Schizosaccharomyces pombe: one gene and its partners. The main gene of each other region encodes a partner of the protein of the gene in region 3 in a complex. Each region holds a gene or a part of one and is shown on either strand. Other genes may lie near its edges.

Region 1 (4,200 bases), on a different chromosome or scaffold from region 3:
AGTGGCTCGGAACTTAATAAACTATGAAAGTAACCAGATGGATGCTGTCAAATTAATATCTGATACTTTTGTGGAACCATATCAATACCATTGCAAACAATTAGGCAACTCTCGTTATTACTTTGACATGGCAGCTGCAGATATTGAGCCTTGGTCCCGGCATCCACTCGATTTACAAAAACAAGAACATCTAGTTGCTCATTCTATATGTCAAACGTGGAACCTATTTGGTATCTTCCAGCCACTAGAAGGTATAGATATGGAAGAACCAAAGTTCCACGACGAAAATTATTCCATCCCTCTCACAGTTTTACCAACCTTTGGGGGTGAATCAAATAGTTTAGATGATCATTTTTACGGAATTTTCCGTGGAGCCGAAAAACTATGGATTAATGATTTATGTGTTATATCCACATCTTCACTGCCATCTGTACTTCAAAAAACAAGTTTTATGTACATATCTGATATTTATGTAAACGAAGATGACATTGTCTGTTTCCAAGGCTCACTATGGACACAAATTGACAAAAATGCACTCGATTATAATGACAGCGCTGACAATATTGATGAACATAAGGATGACTTAAAAGAATTACCAAGAAGATTACAAATGGTATCAAAACTATCAAACACATATTTTCGTTGCCTGCATGATAAATCTGTCGAGTACGTCTGCCCATTCGCAGATGTTTTGGGAAGATGGTATGAGCCTTGGTTCGTAAAAGGAGATTTAAATTACACTTCAGAAGTGAAAGAACGCACATCCAGTCGATTATCAGCAGTAGGCTCTGAAAATTGGGTCGATGACGATTTTTATGAATATTTACTGTCTGAAATTGATATGGTGTCAGCAGTTGTAATGTAATAAGTATGGCAGATAAAATTAGATATAGAAGTGTCTACTTATTGATCAGTGACGGTCATTATTTATAATGTAAATAATATGGGAATAATAATGTCTTTTGCATTTCATAAATTACAGAGAAAGATAGGTAAAAACTATTTGTGTTGAATTAGAGATGGGATATAGTTTTTTTTAAGAAATCATGTTGCACTATCACACCGGTATTAATAAATCATTTCTAAGTTCAGAAGGTCAAATACAACGGTGGAAAAGCACCAACAATGTTGGGCAGCAGATTAACTGCACAGGAAGATTACGTAAACGAAGAAAACAGAAAAGTAATATAAACATACTTCATATGCGTCGCTCCCTTCTACCTCTCGGTCCTCCAAATTTAATAGGTGTTCGATCCATAACCTTTACAATTTTGTCTCGAATTACGGCACCTTCTTGCCCTAATAAACAATTTTGTACTGCTTCCCTGGCCTGACTAAAACCATGAAATATAACATGCAAATTTTCAATACCAAGGCGCTTTACTTGGATTTGTTCCAGCACCTTGGAGCAAATGGTATAAGCAGCATCGTAGCCACGGCGCTTTCCTTTACGAAAACCACAGGTTCCTCCAGAGGCCCTAAAAATAATTTTTCTTTCAGGAGAACAAAGTGTAATGTGAGTGTTGTTCTTCAAACATTTGGCATGAAGGTAAAATGGCATTGGAATGGTATCCGTACCTTGCATAATCGGATTTGGCTCCTCCGTCCTTTTTGAAAAAGCTTTTGGAGTGATTGTGGATTCTAAAAGAGAAGAGAGTTCCTTTTTGGGCGCATTCCGCCTAGGACTCTGGCTCCAAAATCTTCGTAGTCCAACTTTTGTTAAATTAAGCATTAGATATTTGATGAAAAATAGCTTGCTAAGAACCGATTTGTAAACCAAAAATAAAATCAAAGAACTAAAAAATATGGATGAAAATGTAAAGGAAATGAAAAATGACAAATTGTAAGTAACCGAGTGCTTCAATACCATAATTTCTATACCAGGTAACTTATGTTACTCAACCTGTGGTAGTGGTATGAACGTGTAAATATTAACCTAAAACACTCTTCTCGTTTTAAAGAAAAAATAAAGAAATAAAAAATTAAAAATCTTACTTTGGTGGCTGCCTTAAAAGTTTTTCAAACGGATCATTTGGGATACCCAACGACTGTAATTTAAACGAAGATTGGTGAATTGAAAACACAAATATAACCCATCTTTTGAACAGTGAAGATTTTGCAATGATACCAAATGAGAAGCTAAAACTATTAGGTTTATTATCAATTTCTTTTTTTCTTCAATGGTATTTAGCAAACACTTGGATTGCTGAATTCCTTTACAGGCGAATCGAAGTATCGACGCCTGTATCCGGATTTTTACGTGTTCGTGAAGGACTTTACTTGTATGAAAACGGACTAGACCCCTATTCTGGTGGTGTTTTCTATCAGTCTCCACTTCTACTGATCTTAAATTATTGTTGTGAGTTGCTTGGAGGAATATCTGTCACCAGATTTGTTTATACTAGCATTTCTACTATGGGAGGTCTCTTTGTGTATTTAATTGCAAAACAAGCTCGTGTTTTAGACCCAAATCAAGTACTATCTACTTGTTCACCATTATGGATTTCCGTCATGTAAGTTACGCATATGGCTTGCGACAAAAAAAGTGAGACATTCTTCAAAAAAATGAAAAGCATTGTATCGTTGGTTTACAAAATTGTTAACGATGACTGTTCAAAGATTGAACTGCGTTGATTACACAGATTTCGTAGTCGATATTGAAAATGTGTACTTCTGTGATATATTTGTGTCGCAAACAAGTATCCTTAACTCAAAATTTACTAACAAAATATTACTTTAGTTATCTGCTTAACCCATTAACATTTCTTCCAGGAATTGCTTGCTCCGCAGACATGATACTTAATTTCACCACTCTAATGACCATTTATTTCGCCTCTTGCGGATCCTATGCAATTTATGCATGCTGTATGGCATTGACTGTATTCATTAATCCTAACGCTTTACTGTTATTTTTCCCCTCCTATCTTATTTTAAGAAAATGCAATTCATCCATTAAATTTCGTCAGATATTCGTTGTTTTTCTTTTTTATCTTGCAGGTCTGATAATAACTTCAGGCTTCTTTCTGAACTCGTTATCTTTTTTGAAAATTCCATTTAGGGTATACTTGGACTCTCATGATCTAACTCCGAATTTGGGTCTCTGGTGGTATTTTTTTACAGAAATGTTCAATGAATTTCGCACATTCTTCCTTTTTGTATTTGCCATTTTACCATTGATGTTTGTTCTCCCTGTTTCGATCCGTCTTTATTATCTGCCCTTGCCTATTACTATTGCTCTTATTGGCCTGCATTCTTTATTCAAAGCTTACCCAAGTATTTGTGATCTTTCAATATTTTTATCTCTCCTCCCAATTTTTAATAAAGTCCAAGACCGAATGCGATATAGCTTGCTTACAAATAATGCTATTGTGTTTGCGCTTGTACTGGGATCTGCATTTTACCATTCTTGGATAACTCTTGGATGTGGAAATGCAAATTTTTATTACGCAAGTAACCTCATTCTTGCTCTTGGACTCTCTTTAAAAATCATGGACTTTCTCAAGGCACTGCTTTTGGTTGATTGGTATGCCAATCACCCACAGCATGAAAATATTCCATTAAAACAGGTTCAATAAAGTAATCTGTTAATTAGAAAATGATATTCTTAGGCTTCATCTATCCAATTTCATCATTAGAGCCTCACCTTTCTGACCTTACGAAACGACCTTTTCCAATTTAACGTTTAGAAATTATTTATTCATACATACAAATAGGAAATTTATATTTCATATTTTTTTCCTTTTCCGAGACGATTCAAGGACTTTTTTTATTTTTTTTCATATTAGGTATTCATGGCATCCCATGGCACTACTCCCTTTACCACGAAGTACCCATGAAAAGTTTTATGCAAAACTTCATCAGCCATTGATGTTTAGTTCCAAAAGATATTTGAATTCCTTTGGTTGGGAGGAAGGAAACGCTTTAAAAGAAGGAGGGCTCACCAAACCAATTTTAACTTCTAGAAAATATAATACTCATGGGGTATGTCAGAATAAAAAATCTTAGAAAAAGATGGGTTTTTTCAGTAAAGTTATGTATGAATTTATTTTTAACACACGGTAGCTTGGTGCTAAACATGATATTGCTGATCAATGGTGGGATAATGTTTTTTCTGCTCAACTACAGTCAATTCAAGTAAATACGGACAACGGAAAGGTAAAAACAACTTAAATATACAATTTTTCCTATCTCTTTTACACA
Region 2 (5,919 bases), 3.3 Mb from region 3:
TATGGGGTTAAAATTGAACTTCATATTTTTCACTTGCCCAAGGTCTATTGTATGCACGACAACAGCCTACATCGGGCTTCTTTAGAAAACAATCAAAAGGATTAGAAATGGGAGATGTTATTCCACTGAAAGTTAATTTTGATCTAATTAATGTTGATGACGAGCCGTTTGAGCTTGAATTGCTACGTGATCCATATTCTCTGAAAAGTTGGTTACGATATATAAAGACCCATGAAGGATCTACTTTGGAAAAGCGTGTGCTTTTATTTGAAAGAGCTTGTTCAGAACTCCCGGGAAGCTATAAAATATGGAAAAGCTATTTGGAACTACGTGTAGCGCATGTTGAACATTTGAACCCATATTTTCATGCCGAAGCTTTTGCTTCTGTAAACGATTGTTTTGAGCGCTCTTTGATTTTATTGCATAAAATGCCTGTTATTTGGAAACTATATTTACAATTTTTGATGAAACAACCAAATGTCACTAAGATTCGTTGTACATTTAACTCTGCACTTCGCGCCTTACCGGTAACTCAGCACGATGATATTTGGGACATGTTTACGAAATATGCTGAAGATATTGGAGGATTATTTTGCATCCATGTCTACCGCAGATATATACAAGTAGAACCAAGAGCAATTGAAAACTACATTGAGATACTTTGTAAATTAGGGCTGTGGAATGAAGCTGCTCGACAATATGAGGATATTTTAAATCGGCCCGTGTTTTTATCAGCAAAAAGGAAGAGCAATTATCAGATATGGCTCGAGTTTTCCGAGTTAGTTGTTCAGCATCCTGACCATACGCAAAACATAGACGTAGAAAAGGTTTTTAGAGCTGGCATTAAAAGGTTTTCTGATCAAGCAGGGAAACTATGGACTTATTTGGCACAATATTATATACGCATTGGTGACTACGAGAAGGTATGTTTAACTGGTTTGTTTATTGACCCCTTATTGCAAAAACTAACTTATCGTACAGGCAAGAAGCACATTCTATGAAGGGATGAATAACATAATGACTGTAAGAAATTTTACAATTATATTCGATGCTTTTGTTGAATTCGAAGAGCAATGGCTATCTGCACGAGTTGAAGCAAGCAGCGGAAATGCAAATGACGAATTAAGTATCGATTTTCATATGGCCTGGCTCGAGAAAATACTTGACAAACGTCCGCTTTATATCAATGATGTATTATTAAGGCAAAATATAAATAACGTTGACGAATGGCTTCGCCGAGTCAAGTTTTTAGAAGACGACAGCGAAAAAGTTGTTCAAGTTTACACAGACGCTATAAAAAATGTAAATCCAAAGCTGGCGCATGGCTCCCTCGGCAAATTGTTTTCAGAGTTTGCTCGTTTTTATGAAAATTTTGATGATTTAGAACAATCAAGGATAATTTTTGAAAAGGCTACTCATGTACCATATAAAACAGTCAATGAGTTAGCACAAGTTTGGATTGACTGGGCCGAGATGGAACTTCGACATCAAAATTTTGACGCTGCGAGAAAATTAATAGGAGATGCCGTTCATGCTCCTAGAAAAAGTCATATCAGCTTTTTTGATGAATCACTCAGTCCACAAGTACGGCTACACAAGTCATCTAAGATATGGATGTATTATCTTGATCTTGAGGAAAGCGTTGGTACGATTGAAACTACACGCAAATTGTACGACCGCGTCTTTGAACTAAAAATTGCTACTCCCCAGGTGGTTGTCAATTATGCAAATCTCTTAGAGGAGAATGCTTATTTTGAAGATTCATTTAAAATTTATGAGAGAGGTGTTGCGTTATTTAGTTATCCCGTGGCTTTTGAACTTTGGAATTTATATTTAACAAAATTTGTTAAACGATATCAAGGAACGCATATGGAAAGGACCAGGGATTTATTTGAACAAGCATTAGAAGGATGTCCGCCCGAATTTTCGAAAAGTATTTATCTTCTGTATGCCGATTTCGAAGAAAAGTTTGGCAAAGCAAAAAGATCCATTTCTATTTTAGAAAAAGCGGCCGACAAGGTTAAAACAGCAGACCGTCTTGCTATTTACAATGTGTTACTCGTTAAAGTGGCATTAAATTATGGTGTACTGGCGACAAGGACAGTTTATGAGAAGGCTATTGAATCCCTGAGTGACTCAGAAGTCAAAGATATGTGCTTAAGGTTTGCTGAAATGGAGACGAAACTTGGTGAAATCGATCGTGCTCGTTTAATATATATTCATGGAAGTCAATACTGTGATCCAAGAGTTGAAACGGATTATTGGAAAGCATGGCAAGAATTTGAAATAAGGTACGGAAATCCAGAAGAAACAGTTAAAGAAATGCTTCGTATTAAACGGTCTGTACAAACTAAGTTTAGCACTGATTCCCTTCATATAGCGAAGAGAGCAGCTAAAATTGAAAGTGCAGCAGCACCAATGGATCCAATGGAACAGCTTGAAATGGAAAAATCTGAAGGACCTAAGGCACTTGCGGGTTTTGTTCTTTCGAAAAGCAATCCCCAAGAAACTTCAAAAATTACTGGTGAGGAAAACTAACGAAACAAGTGTGGACTATTCGTAACGTTTTTAGTTAAAGAACACTTTTAATGAAGAAAAGCTAGTGTCATATTGTTAAAAAAAAAAGTACGAATACAGTCAGAGTATTTTTGCTAATAAACGGTCCAACATCAGAGTAATTGAAAACACATTAGTTAATTTTTATTTTCGAGATGAATTTTTTAACAAATCTTTGTAAATGGGGTCGTTTCTGAGCAATTTTTCGGCATTTTGTGTGATTATATCTTTTTTCGAAGGACCGTTTAACAATTCTTTGAAATTATCAGTAGACTTAGACTGTGACTCGAAGTTTTTAAGGGCATCATCGATGGATTCGTATTCATAAGCTTTTGCTTGCAATTTTAAATCCCACATGTTGCATTTTCGTAAATAACTAAAAAACGTTTCTAAAGTAACTGGATTGACACTGTACAGTTGTATAAGTCGAGAGTGCGTAATACGTTCAAAATTCTCCTGAGAAGATTTGTGAATAAAAGGTGATCGGAGTAAAGTCCAGCTTTCTACTTTGTTGGGTAATGGACGTGGACCCTTGATTGGAATTTTCATGTAATACGCTGTTCGACAAATGAAGTCGGTAAACGTATCAAGTTTTGGAGTTTCAAAGCTTTTAATTTTTAGAGAAGCACAAAGTACGTCGTTTTCAGAAGGATTGAATTTAACAGGGTTCAAATATACAGCTGCAACGTTGGAAGGAAGCTGTTGAAAAAATGGATTCTCAAAAAGTTGATCCTTTTCGCTGTTCCCTTTGCTAATAAATTGGGGTTAGAATGTACAAAATTATAGCTTAAATTAGAGGAAAGGATTGAATACATACGGTGATTCTTTGCCAATAGCTGTCTGGAAACAACGTTTCGGTTGCACGCGAGGTAATGTACCAAACATATACCGTTTCATGATTAATATTTTAGCCGGTTACTTAAAATACTTGTTAAGAAAACCACAAGAACAAAATTCCAACAATTAAACACTGTAAAGGTGTTTTTTTTTAACAAAATTTTTTGGTTGGAGTGGGGAGTAATGGTCGAGCTACACTTGTCATCCACCATCATATTCAGTTTAACACAATTATCGTAGGACTAAGGGGTTATTAATCAATGTTTTAATTGAACATAAACAAGCGGAGCGAAATCATTTTAAATGTCGTTCGCGCGTGAATACCTTGAAAAACACGTAGATGGTAACATTTATTTTAAAAAAGCAATATCATTCTGTAATTTATACTATGATGGAACGATCTAACTATAAATTTTTTATTTGCATTTGAAGGTCAAAGTTTAGAATTCAAAGGTGGGTGTGATTGTACTGTACTAAAAATATTATTGATGCACCATAGTGAAGAAAACCAAAAAAATTCGATTAAACATGAATATTTGTGATTATAAGGCTTTCAGCACAATTTAAAATTGACCAGTATGATGAGAGTTCTCAGTCAGCAATGAGATGTAATTTTTTAAAATTATGAGGAGACAATTATTTTACAATAACAAATTCCGGAAGTTAACAAAAGTGTGAACTGAACAATTGTGCTTTTGAGCTAGGAATTAAAGGTTTGGGACTGGCATCCTACTTGCAATTATGGAAGAATCTACTGATTTGTCATTCAAATTACTTTATACTACAAGAATACATAGGGATTTTGGAATTAAATGCTTACCTCGTAACACAATAATCGTTCTCATTTAAATTGGCTTTAACAATGAAAAATATTCAATGTTTTACAGTTTCAAGGTTGTATGTTAAACTGTTACAGCAGACAGCTATATAAATATATTAACTTGCGACCCTTGTTTACCAATCCTGCATTCAAAACTGACTTGCGATCACTGATATATATATATATATATTTAAGTATTGCAAACGAGTATCACTTTTCAAGCAGATAGGTTGGTGTCAACAACTTCTTGCTGCATGTCAAAGTCAAAGTCGCACATATGATTATTAAATTGACACTACCGAACATCTTGATAAATACTTCAAGCATGGCTTTTCTGGAAAACGAAAAAAATATATCGTTCTCATCTTTAAAAGTTTGAAGTTTGTATACATAGGTTCTACAGCTGTAATTCCTTCATAAAACATCAATGCATATTATTATTCCTTGATTCTAATATGTCAGATCGACTCATTATTAAAAATAAATTCGGTGATACATTTTTTAATCTATAATTCAAGGCACCATACTCATTATCAAAATAACTTGGTAATATAATTTGACGATGGAACTTACATCTTTGAATGAGTCTAAATTTTTTGTTTACGCGTTCAAAATGTTAGATGCATATCAAATAGTGCGGATAAATAAGAAGCACAATATTAAGTTAGGGTTGCTAATTTTATCTATCTATAAGCAGTGTCAAAAGTACGAAAGACTGCGTTAACTCTTCTTATAAATTTATATTAAACTTAATGTACTATTTTTTGTTCCTAAGTAAACTACACAGTGTAACTTTATATTAATTCATTATTTCTATTAATGCATCGCTACGAGCTTCATCAAATCCTTTAATTTTATCTGATGCATGTGCGTTCGTGCGCTAGTGAAGTAAAAGTTTTCAAAGGCAGAGATATTCAAAAATTTGGGCAGAATGTCGTTGCAAGCAATCATTTATAATGAGGACAAGCTTCTTGTATTAGACCAATTACTTCTTCCGTACGAGCGTAAATACATTTCAGTTAGTAATGTAGAAGACGCATTCGCTGTCATAAAAAAAATGCAAGTTCGTGGGGCCCCAGCTATTGCTATTGTAGCAGCTTTGAGTGTGGCTGTCGGATTAAAACATCTTTCTGAAGATGCAGATGCAAAAGAATATGTTATAAATAGCTTTGAGCATCTCAAACAGTCTCGTCCTACCGCTGTCAATCTTTTTGAAACTGCAAAGTTTATGCAAGGCATTGCTCTTCAAGAAGGAAAAAATTGTCGAAATAAAATTATTCAGGAAGCGGAGCGTATGCTAGTAAAAGATTTAGAAGACAACCACAATATTGGAACTGCTGGCCGAAAATTCTTGTTGCAGCATTACAAAGATAAAGACAAGCTCACCGTTTTGACCCATTGCAACACTGGATCTTTAGCTACCTCAGGTTATGGTACAGCTTTGGGGATCATTCGTAGTTTACACGAATCGGGGAACTTGGAACACGCTTATTGTACAGAAACTCGCCCTTATAACCAAGGCTCTCGTCTCACTGCTTTTGAGTTGGTTCATGATAAAATTCCAGCAACTCTAGTCACAGATTCCACGGTTGCTTCAATTATGCACAAAATCGATGCCATTGTCGTCGGCGCCGACCGCGTTACTCGTAATGGCGATACTGCAAACAAGATTGGCACATATAATCTTGCTATTTTGGCAAAACACT
Region 3 (4,641 bases):
ATAGGGTATGAAGAAGATGCTGAAGACGAAACTATGGATGGGTGCTTGAAATCCATGATATTTGAGCCATCCACATAACTGGATGGATCAGCGTTTTCAGTGGGATTGGAAATCGCAGTGTTTTCGAGTTGACGATGAATATCCTTGAGCGACGAGTGTTGGGAAGGACACATAGCGAAGCGAATACCAAACAGTCGTTTTGGATATGAGTCAAGGAGAACGAAAGGTATTTATAGGTATTTAAAGAATGAAAAGTTTCCAAGACAAAAAGAGAAAGATTAAAAAAAGAAAAAAGAAAAAACACTCAGTAGTAATGGAGAGAATTCGAATTTCCGAACTTCTTGTTGATGAAACGCTAACCGCAAAAAAAAATTTAACAATACACCGTTTAATAAACGAGAAATTAGAAGAAAAGCGGGATTATTTCAAAAAAGGAGAGGAAGCGAAAACTAAAGGAAAGATAGAATGGGTGGAAATTGTAGTAGGAAAGCAAATAAAATTGGAACCCAAGAAAACGCCTATAGTAGTTGTCTTTGAGCGAAGGAAAGTATAAAACAACAAAAAATTAGGTTTTTCCTCTTTCAAGTTGAATTATTATGAAACCGGGTTGAACAGGAATCTTCAAGGTAAGCGACCCCAAGAACGCACTCGTTCACGAACTAACCAAGTAAACGAGACAAGATGAACAAGCTTGACAGGATAAACAATGAAAGAAGAAAAACTTATAAAAACTAAATATATAAAGGGGAATATAGTAAAAATTGGCCCCCAAGCTGCGTTATAAGGAATTGACAGCAATTATATGATGACGGAGAAGAAAGGAGTAGAAACTGACGCAAGGCAGGATGTAAACGTCAAATCTTCAGGTGTTCCGATATGTAATGAGTCTTAAAACTGCTACTAGCCTAAAACCTAGCACCGTTCATCCACAAAGCGATGTCCAAAGAAACGTTTCAATCCGATGTTCCTATTTTGCTTGAATCCGTCGACACAACACACTGACTTGACAGTAACCGGGAGTACGATGGCAAAAATCAATGTCAGTGGATCCAGCAATTCGTAACAACACCAAAAGAATGGGCAATTCAGAACAAGATCAAAATGCTAACTAAAAGAAGCCTAGGTGTTGGGAAATCTCAAAATACCAATTAACCGAACTCCCCAAACAACGATTCGTACGAAAGCAACAAAAACCCTCTAAGATTCAATCAATAGCTTTCTTGATCACTAGAAATTTTCAAGAACGGATGGAGTTAAATATTCAACAGGGATGCGCAATCTACGCGAGTCTTAAGTTATGTTTTGCTGTCGCTAAGTAGAATTTATGGGAGGGAGGAAAAAGCTAAAAGTAGACGAAGCCGCTTAAGCTAAGGAATGTCTATAGCGATTAACATTACGTTATAAGGATTGCGTGGTGAAAAGAAGGTTGGCAAACTACGCATTACATGAGTAACGTTCGTTTATGGTATCTCGTATACGCATTCTACAATCGCTTACAGTATTCCTGTTTAGCAAACTCGATACAAGCAAAGCATACCTTGAACAACGTGGAGAATGCTCGCTTTGTAGTATTCGTGTTACCGTAATTCGTGCTGTATCTCACTCCGGGGGTAGTGAATATGATCAATTCACACTGCTTATAAAGAGAAATAGAGTCAGCAGGAAGTAGAAAGATAAATGGAAGGAAAAGAACGTAATTTCTATCCCAGAAAACGTTTGAAATGATCTTTTGAAATTATGTTTTGTTTGTAAGTATGAACGAAAAGCAAGGCACAACGCTATTTTATAAACAACGGAGTGCACAATACGATACGTCCATCTGCTTTCCATCCTTGATACCTGCATTGTCTTCGTGTTTACTCAAGTTGCTCTTAACCATACTCCTACCACCAAGTGGGAAAGACGGGATTTGTAGGACTCGTTGAAAACCGGCTCTTCTCAATGGTAGTAAAAATTCGTTTGGCGCGTCATGGCGTCAGAAATAGACCTTTTTACCATATCGTAGTTGCGAATGCATGGTAAGTAGGATGAAAACATACCTAGACGGTTGTTTCGTGTTTTACAACACTTGTAGCGGTTCACGTAAAGGGGAAAGTTTTTGTACAGGATTTAGTAAGGGAGATGGCTTGATGTGGGTTATGAAAGAATGGAAGATAAAATGCTAAAAGACTGCTTTTTTTTGACGGTTCCTTTGGCTCTAAATTGCGATCTTTTTTAGAAGCTTTAGTTTTCAGGTATTCCTGGATGCTCTCATCTATTTAATCTAGTCTTTCTACATAGTATTCAAAATGCCAAGGACACCAACCACAATTTTTCTTATTAATTGACTATTTATTGTGGTTTGGCCCCCTTGGCCTCTATTAACTGTTTACATATCACCTGTACATCCTTTTTTTTCTCCTTCATCCATTCCTGTCTTTTGGTTCGACTTTGTTAACTCAATATAGGAAAGCACCTCAAGCCAAACCTATCGAAACCATCGGCACTTTTGATCCCATCCCTAAGAAGATTGATTCTCAGGACTCCATTCCTCGTATAAAAGATATCCAGCTCAACGTTGAACGTTTTAAATATTGGATAAGTGTAGGAGCACAACCATCCGACACCGTCCGCTCTTTAGCTGAAAAGGTATGCCCAAGCTCTCTTTATCTATTTTTATGACTAGTCCAAATTCGTTAAACTTTCTTTCAACTCTCTTTTTTGACTAAAATTTTCGACCCGCTTGCGATATACCGCTCGGGTGATTTTTCTCATGTTCCCTAACTGCCCGGCTTTCCGAAATGGAGTGTAGGATCTCATCCCTGTTTTCGTTACGATTTGGCTACTAATTTACTTGTTTTACTTCTTTCTATCAATCTATCAATTCTTACTAACGTTACTTTTTTCACTTTTAGTTCCAGTTGCTTCCTAAAAAACCCGTTTCTTGAAACTCACTATAATCGTTATTGCTCAAGTCATGACATTTCTTTTTTACGACCACTTCACAATGTCTAGATATCTTTAACACATTTTTTATTTTTTTTTACACTTTATCTCTGTGATCACGCTAATTACCTCTCTCAACTAAATTTCATAATTTTTGACCGATTTTACCCTTCCGTACTGTTTTTTTAAAACCACGTTTTTTGGCTGAGTGCGATATTTGTTTTCTTTACGATTCTTTTTATTACAATATCACCTTTTTTTTTTTAATTCCTTCTCCACATTATCGTTAGCGTAGTGATATCTTAATTTCTAAATTTTTTAAAGTGTCTATCTATCTGAGGTTATGCGCTAGTTGAAAGCGCTCATAATTTGATGCTATCCATTTGTAATTACTTGTTGCTTTGTACTTAAAATTGTTTGGTAATGAGAAATCTTGGTACCAATATTTTGCCTTTGTAATTTTTAGCTTTTGCGTTTATGGTTAAAATGGATCTTCACTTTATACTGAAACTTCATTTCGTTTACTGATGTTATACCCTTATTTTTTTAGAAACAAATTAACAGCTTCATTTCAAATATTTAGGTTAATATCGGTGTATCTATTATTGCTTAGATTTTTGGACTTTCCGTTCGGAAACGGCAATGCGCTTTGTTGCTTTCCTGATTTCCTCATTCGTTTAATTGGAACTGAACACGTTCATTAATAGCCAATTGCAATAGTTGTACAATTCTAACAAATCATTCCTGTACTTCCGTTGAATTTATAAAAGACTTGTCTCAAAGGATTTAAAATCGTTCAACAATGAATATTAACAACTTAATCGTTTGTAACAAAATATTATAAATGGTGAACTAGCCTTATAAGCTAATTTATTAACTGTACCAGAAGCAATTTACTTTGGTATTATTACCATATTTCATCAACCAGTCCAACTCTACACCACTACATTTATTCATGCACCGAACAGTGTAATTTTCAATTAATGCATTAAATACAAGCTAAACATCACAAACCAAATAGTATGTAAAAATAAACTTGAAAAAGAAAGCGAGAAATCACTTAATGAAAAAAAAAAATCTACTACCAAATCTCGAAATGAGTATAGATCAAATTGCAATGCTTTTTCCCTGACATGCATATGTGTAACCGACATATAAGTAATAAACTAGTATACCGCATAGATAATCTAAATGAAAAGTGCTGATTTCGTACTAAAAGCCAACCGTTAAAAGAACCTTTAGTAAAATCGTTGATCGTAAAACTTCAGTTGAACGTTTAAAGAGCGAAAGATACCTATATACTTTCAAGCATTATTTTAAGCCCTGATTGCACAACCAAGAGAGCTTTTGGGCCAATCCTCCCAAAAGTAGAAAAAAGGACACTGTTAAGGACGGAAAACTATAGCAGCCCGAAAAGCACACATAAATTTAAGAAACAAAAATATAAGTAACACAAATTTATTCCATCCGTTTGACAGGTTGTTCTCCTGCTGGCAATGAAGGATGAGTGTCACCAATGTAAATCCAGAAGCCTGGTTCAATAACTTCTAAAACAGCTTGGGCTAAAGCATTCCTGGCATCGCTATCATGCTCTTCCCATTTGAAGTATCTTCTGGCCCAAACTGCTCCCTCTGCTTCTTCTTTCTTACGCATATCACGTTGTGATTGTTCGATTGTAGACTTTTTCGAGCTTACAATATCATAATTACCACTGGC
Region 4 (4,058 bases), on a different chromosome or scaffold from region 3:
TAATGAGCAATTTTGGAGCACAAGGCTTCATTTGCTCCGCGCTCATGCTGTAGAAAGGTCTCAGCAGCGTGGTCCTTATAATGTCTTGTCTACTATTAAACCTAAAACAGTGGACAACCAAATGAAAGTTTCCCTTACCGGCCAGCAAATTCACGATATGTTTGAACAACATCCATTGCTCCGAAAGGTATATGACAAGCATGTGCCTCCTCTAGCAGAAGGAGAGTTTTGGAGTAGATTTTTCCTTTCCAAGCTTTGTAAAAAGCTTCGTGGCGACAGAATTACACCAATGGATCCCTCTGATGATATAATGGATAAGTATTTAAAAGATAATGAAGGTAATTTCTCCAACCTAGATGAATTCCATTTCTAACATTTTCAAGAGGTAACCAAAGTATCGGATGAACCTATTGCATCGCACCTCTTTGATTTAGAAGGAAATGATCAAAATGCAAATGTAATAGCAGAACTTAGACCTGATATCACTATGCGAATTGACAAAGAAGCTCTACCGTTTATGAAAAACATCAATCAGCTTTCGGAAAGACTTTTGGAAAAAAGTTTGGGGTATGTATATTCGGTTTTATTAATTGTTATTGCTTCGGTATGCCTAACAACTTGTAGAAACTCTAAACGATTTAACAACGAAAATGAAGAAACATACTTAAAAGAATCTGGTTTTCACGATTTAGAAGAAGAAGCCAGTGACTCTAAAGTTGTCTTAAAAATCAAAGGTCAAGATCAGTTATTGGAAAATAATTTTGTCCCCTCAAAAAATCAAGTTGGTTTAGAGCCTTTGCCTTCATTGGAAGCTCTTCAACATTTATACCAGGAAGATTCGATAAGCTTAAATCACATTGAACATGATTCTGACTCTTTGGCTGAAGCCGCTATGCAGCTTACTCAGAGTATGCGCGAAAAGCATGAGTTTGAGACCCACGGCACTGCATCAAATTTACCTATTGACATAAAAAATGAAATTGTTTTGTGCCATACCGTTACGATAGAATTTTTGCATCAATTTTGGAATGCCTTGTTGAATACAACTTTCCCGGACAAGAAGGCGATGGCCCCCCTTCAGAATGCTCTGTTAAATTCGAAAAAAAGGGTGGAGGCAATTGCGAGCCAGGCTCAGGAACAAAACGTTGATCCAAAACTGGTTTATGAGGTAAGTTTTTTTTGTAGAGATTTTGATTATTAACTAGGATTAGTTGGTATCCTGTACGCTCACTTCTATTGATACGTCAATCTCGGAGTATCAAAGACGAATGTCTTATCCTCCTGCTTAGGTTTGATAATGTCTTTGGAAACTCAATTGTGCTTGTAAAAGGTAATTGTTTCTGTTTTTCCATATAGAGGTTAATGATATATTGATATATTCTTTATTGGACTTAATGTTCTTTCTTCATAAAGGCTGGAAAAAATGAACATTGAAATGCTGGATATGGCTCTTTTTCTGTTTATACAACTCTTGAATTAAAAAACTTTTGTTTTGGTTTATAGATTCAAAAGACAATCAAAACTGTTTTTAGATTACTGTGCTCATAGGCCAAAATCTAATGTTTTTATGTCTTTATAGATTTTATTATTTATTAAAATTCGTTTTATGACACGAATATAGTATGTTATAAACTGATGTTCAATTAATTAATGTCCCATAATTTCTCTCTTTTGTTTTAAATGCTTGTTTTTACAATTTTTCAATTTATCGCTTCTCTGTATATTATATATAACTTTTTTTTTTACTTTCTTTCAAGGTATCAGTTCTGTATGATCCCAATAAAACTGTGTCTAGCTCAAGTATTAAATTTGGATACACAATTAATGATGAATATTTTAACATCGATTACCTAATTTATCTTATTTCAAGTTAATAAATAAATAGCCAAACGACTTTGAAATGTAGCACGCTAGCGCCTAGTTCCCTTCCCTTTTCTTTCATTTATCCATAGTGTATATGTACTAAGCTTAAACATCTACGCACACCTTAGCTTTCCTACATGCTTTGATTAATAAGAGTAATTGTTTTAAAAATTTCATTCAAGAAGAAAGAACAAACAATAAAGGGCCATGCTACGACTCATAAAGCAACCTTTGTTTCGATGTGCGAGTTCGGGACATTTGATGAAAGAGTCGCTTGTTTTTATCCATCAGACTCGTACTTTTCAAGTTGGAAAATTTACCTCAAATGAAAAATATAATGAAAAAATTGAAGATATCAATGAACGTTCAAATCCACAATGGGATAATGCGGGACTCGAAAATTTACTGAATCAACTTCAAGATTCTGTCGAACAGTCTGCCTCCGACGATTTTATGGGTGAATTAGAGAAAAAAATTGAAGTTGAAAATGAAGAACCGCCGCTAATGGGTACAAATCTGTGGCCTTCTCCGTCAAGTTCAATTGTAGGGTTAATAGATCGACCATTTCAGGTCGACTCTACAGTACAGCATTTGGTGAATTTAATAATGCGAGATGGGAAAAAAGCTAAAGCTGAAAAGATTGTTGCAACAGCGCTCTCTATCATACAAAAAGAAACCGGTGAAAATCCTATAGATGTTTTGAAACAAGCAATCGCTGAGATTTCTCCCTTAATGAAGTTGGTACGTCGAAATTATTGAAAATTTTGGAATTTTTTGTGAATTATTTCTTTTTATAGTGTGTAGACGGATTTGCTAATATTTTGATAGGTTTCTGCAAAGCGATTTAACAAAAGTGTCGAATTTCCTATGCCATTGAAAGAGCGACAGCGAAGAAGGATTGCGTTACAATGGATCCTCGGTGAATGTAAATCATCAAGTCCTAAAAGATTATCAGATCGTATTGTTAAAGAAATCATTGCTATCAGGAGCAAGACAAGCAATTGTTTCAAAAAGAAAGATCATCTGCACAGAATGTGCCTTGTTAACAGAGGTAATGCACCCGTTCGTATATAAAAACAAAAATTCCGTACATTTTTATCTTTTTTATGAATTGCATTCCCTTTTAGTAATGTTATTTTTGTCTAGTATATCGAGAATTGATTACTCTTAGTTATCAACTCAATTATACTACGTAGTGCGCAGTTAATCATATTCATGTTTATGAGGTTATAGTTTGGTTGTAAAATAACTTTCATAATATTCATCAACATTCTTCTACAGCTCCTTTTCAGTTAACGGAAATGCTACAGAATTTATCTTCTATGAAGTATATTGTTGTTTTTTCAAAACAAAGAAGGGAAAGTAAATTAGTTCATCGACTAAACTGTTAATTTCCTCTATATAAATTAAATTGACAATGTACAGCTAGCACAATGCTAGTTTAGAAATAAACAACAACGTGCAAAGACACAGTATCCATTCCTTTATTATGGACAGGATCCATAAGTTCAAACGTGCACGTTTCAAATGCCATTAAAACGTCTTCATCGGATGTGATGGTTATAAAATCGCCATCCTCATCAACATACTTCAGTCTAACCCGAAAAGGAACAGCTTGTTTCAAAATCCCACAAAGCTTTATTTTATGTTCTACCTTGGCTAACAGCTCATCAAATGTTATATCATGAGCAACAACCAGGACGAGACTAACCTCATGTAAACGGAGACGAATTTTAACATTCGTGGTATTTCGAACTGATAGGGAGGTAGACGTGGAACTCGAGCTTAACGAAGTATGTTTAGTAGAAGGGAGCAAACTACCATCTGATTTCATACCCGCTGAATATGAATATTGACGAGGTCTCATTACGTCGCAATCATTAGTAGTAGGTTGATCAAAAATTTTTTGTTTCGTTGATGAAGATGTATCTTCAAAAATGCTGACTGAAGACCCATCATCAGTACCTGAATACACCCTAGTTATATGACTTTGACGATTGTAGTTATAGTCGTTCAATAGCGAATTGACCTGGCTGATACGAGAGATTTGGCTAGGAATAGATGCAGTCGATGAAGAATCGTTACTAACTATAGTTGATGTTGTTTGCGAAGTACGAAGGCTACTGGTACCCACTGATTCTTCGCTGTTTAAACGAATGAAATCCGATGGCCTTTCATCAGTTGTGGTGGCAGAC

The links.
Region 1: mrps16 (region 3) and mrps18 share a complex: the UniProt entries of both Schizosaccharomyces pombe proteins name them as parts of the mitochondrial small ribosomal subunit.
Region 2: mrps16 (region 3) and rsm10 share a complex: the UniProt entries of both Schizosaccharomyces pombe proteins name them as parts of the mitochondrial small ribosomal subunit.
Region 4: mrps16 (region 3) and rsm7 share a complex: the UniProt entries of both Schizosaccharomyces pombe proteins name them as parts of the mitochondrial small ribosomal subunit.

What each region holds. Positions count from the first base shown.
Region 1 is NC_003424.3:4,966,025-4,970,224, forward strand, and holds mrps18 (putative mitochondrial ribosomal protein subunit S18), read right to left. Parts: upstream 1,839-4,200; 5' UTR 1,733-1,838; coding exon 1,199-1,732; 3' UTR 966-1,198; downstream 1-965. Other genes in the region: SHREC complex subunit Clr2, read left to right, coding at 1-865; gab1 (Pig-U family GPI transamidase subunit), read left to right, coding at 2,122-2,513, 2,741-3,575; tma23 (ribosome biogenesis protein), read left to right, coding at 3,868-3,981, 4,063-4,155. UniProt on the Schizosaccharomyces pombe protein: Component of the mitochondrial ribosome (mitoribosome), a dedicated translation machinery responsible for the synthesis of mitochondrial genome-encoded proteins, including at least some of the essential transmembrane subunits of the mitochondrial respiratory chain.
Region 2 is NC_003423.3:3,867,827-3,873,745, reverse strand, and holds rsm10 (mitochondrial 37S ribosomal protein uS10m), read right to left. Parts: upstream 3,579-5,919; 5' UTR 3,454-3,578; coding exon 3,374-3,453; intron 3,308-3,373; coding exon 2,701-3,307; 3' UTR 2,539-2,700; coding exon of another isoform or gene 982-2,538; 3' UTR 926-981; downstream 1-925. Other genes in the region: protein Cwf3, read left to right, coding at 108-923, 982-2,538; mri1 (methylthioribose-1-phosphate isomerase), read left to right, coding at 5,145-5,919. UniProt on the Schizosaccharomyces pombe protein: Component of the mitochondrial ribosome (mitoribosome), a dedicated translation machinery responsible for the synthesis of mitochondrial genome-encoded proteins, including at least some of the essential transmembrane subunits of the mitochondrial respiratory chain.
Region 3 is NC_003423.3:553,952-558,592, forward strand, and holds mrps16 (mitochondrial ribosomal protein subunit S16), read left to right. Parts: upstream 1-1,873; 5' UTR 1,874-1,941; coding exon 1,942-2,018; exon of another isoform or gene 2,019-2,447; coding exon 2,448-2,628; intron 2,629-2,894; coding exon 2,895-2,927; 3' UTR 2,928-3,297; downstream 3,298-4,641. Other genes in the region: sre2 (membrane-tethered transcription factor), read right to left, coding at 1-173; osh42 (oxysterol binding protein), read right to left, coding at 4,384-4,641. UniProt on the Schizosaccharomyces pombe protein: Component of the mitochondrial ribosome (mitoribosome), a dedicated translation machinery responsible for the synthesis of mitochondrial genome-encoded proteins, including at least some of the essential transmembrane subunits of the mitochondrial respiratory chain.
Region 4 is NC_003424.3:3,517,773-3,521,830, reverse strand, and holds rsm7 (mitochondrial 37S ribosomal protein uS7m), read left to right. Parts: upstream 1-1,989; 5' UTR 1,990-2,070; coding exon 2,071-2,604; intron 2,605-2,691; coding exon 2,692-2,937; 3' UTR 2,938-3,117; downstream 3,118-4,058. Other genes in the region: transcription factor TFIIH complex subunit Tfb1, read left to right, coding at 1-338, 384-567, 625-1,168, 1,212-1,289; RhoGEF Scd1, read right to left, coding at 3,305-4,058. UniProt on the Schizosaccharomyces pombe protein: Component of the mitochondrial ribosome (mitoribosome), a dedicated translation machinery responsible for the synthesis of mitochondrial genome-encoded proteins, including at least some of the essential transmembrane subunits of the mitochondrial respiratory chain.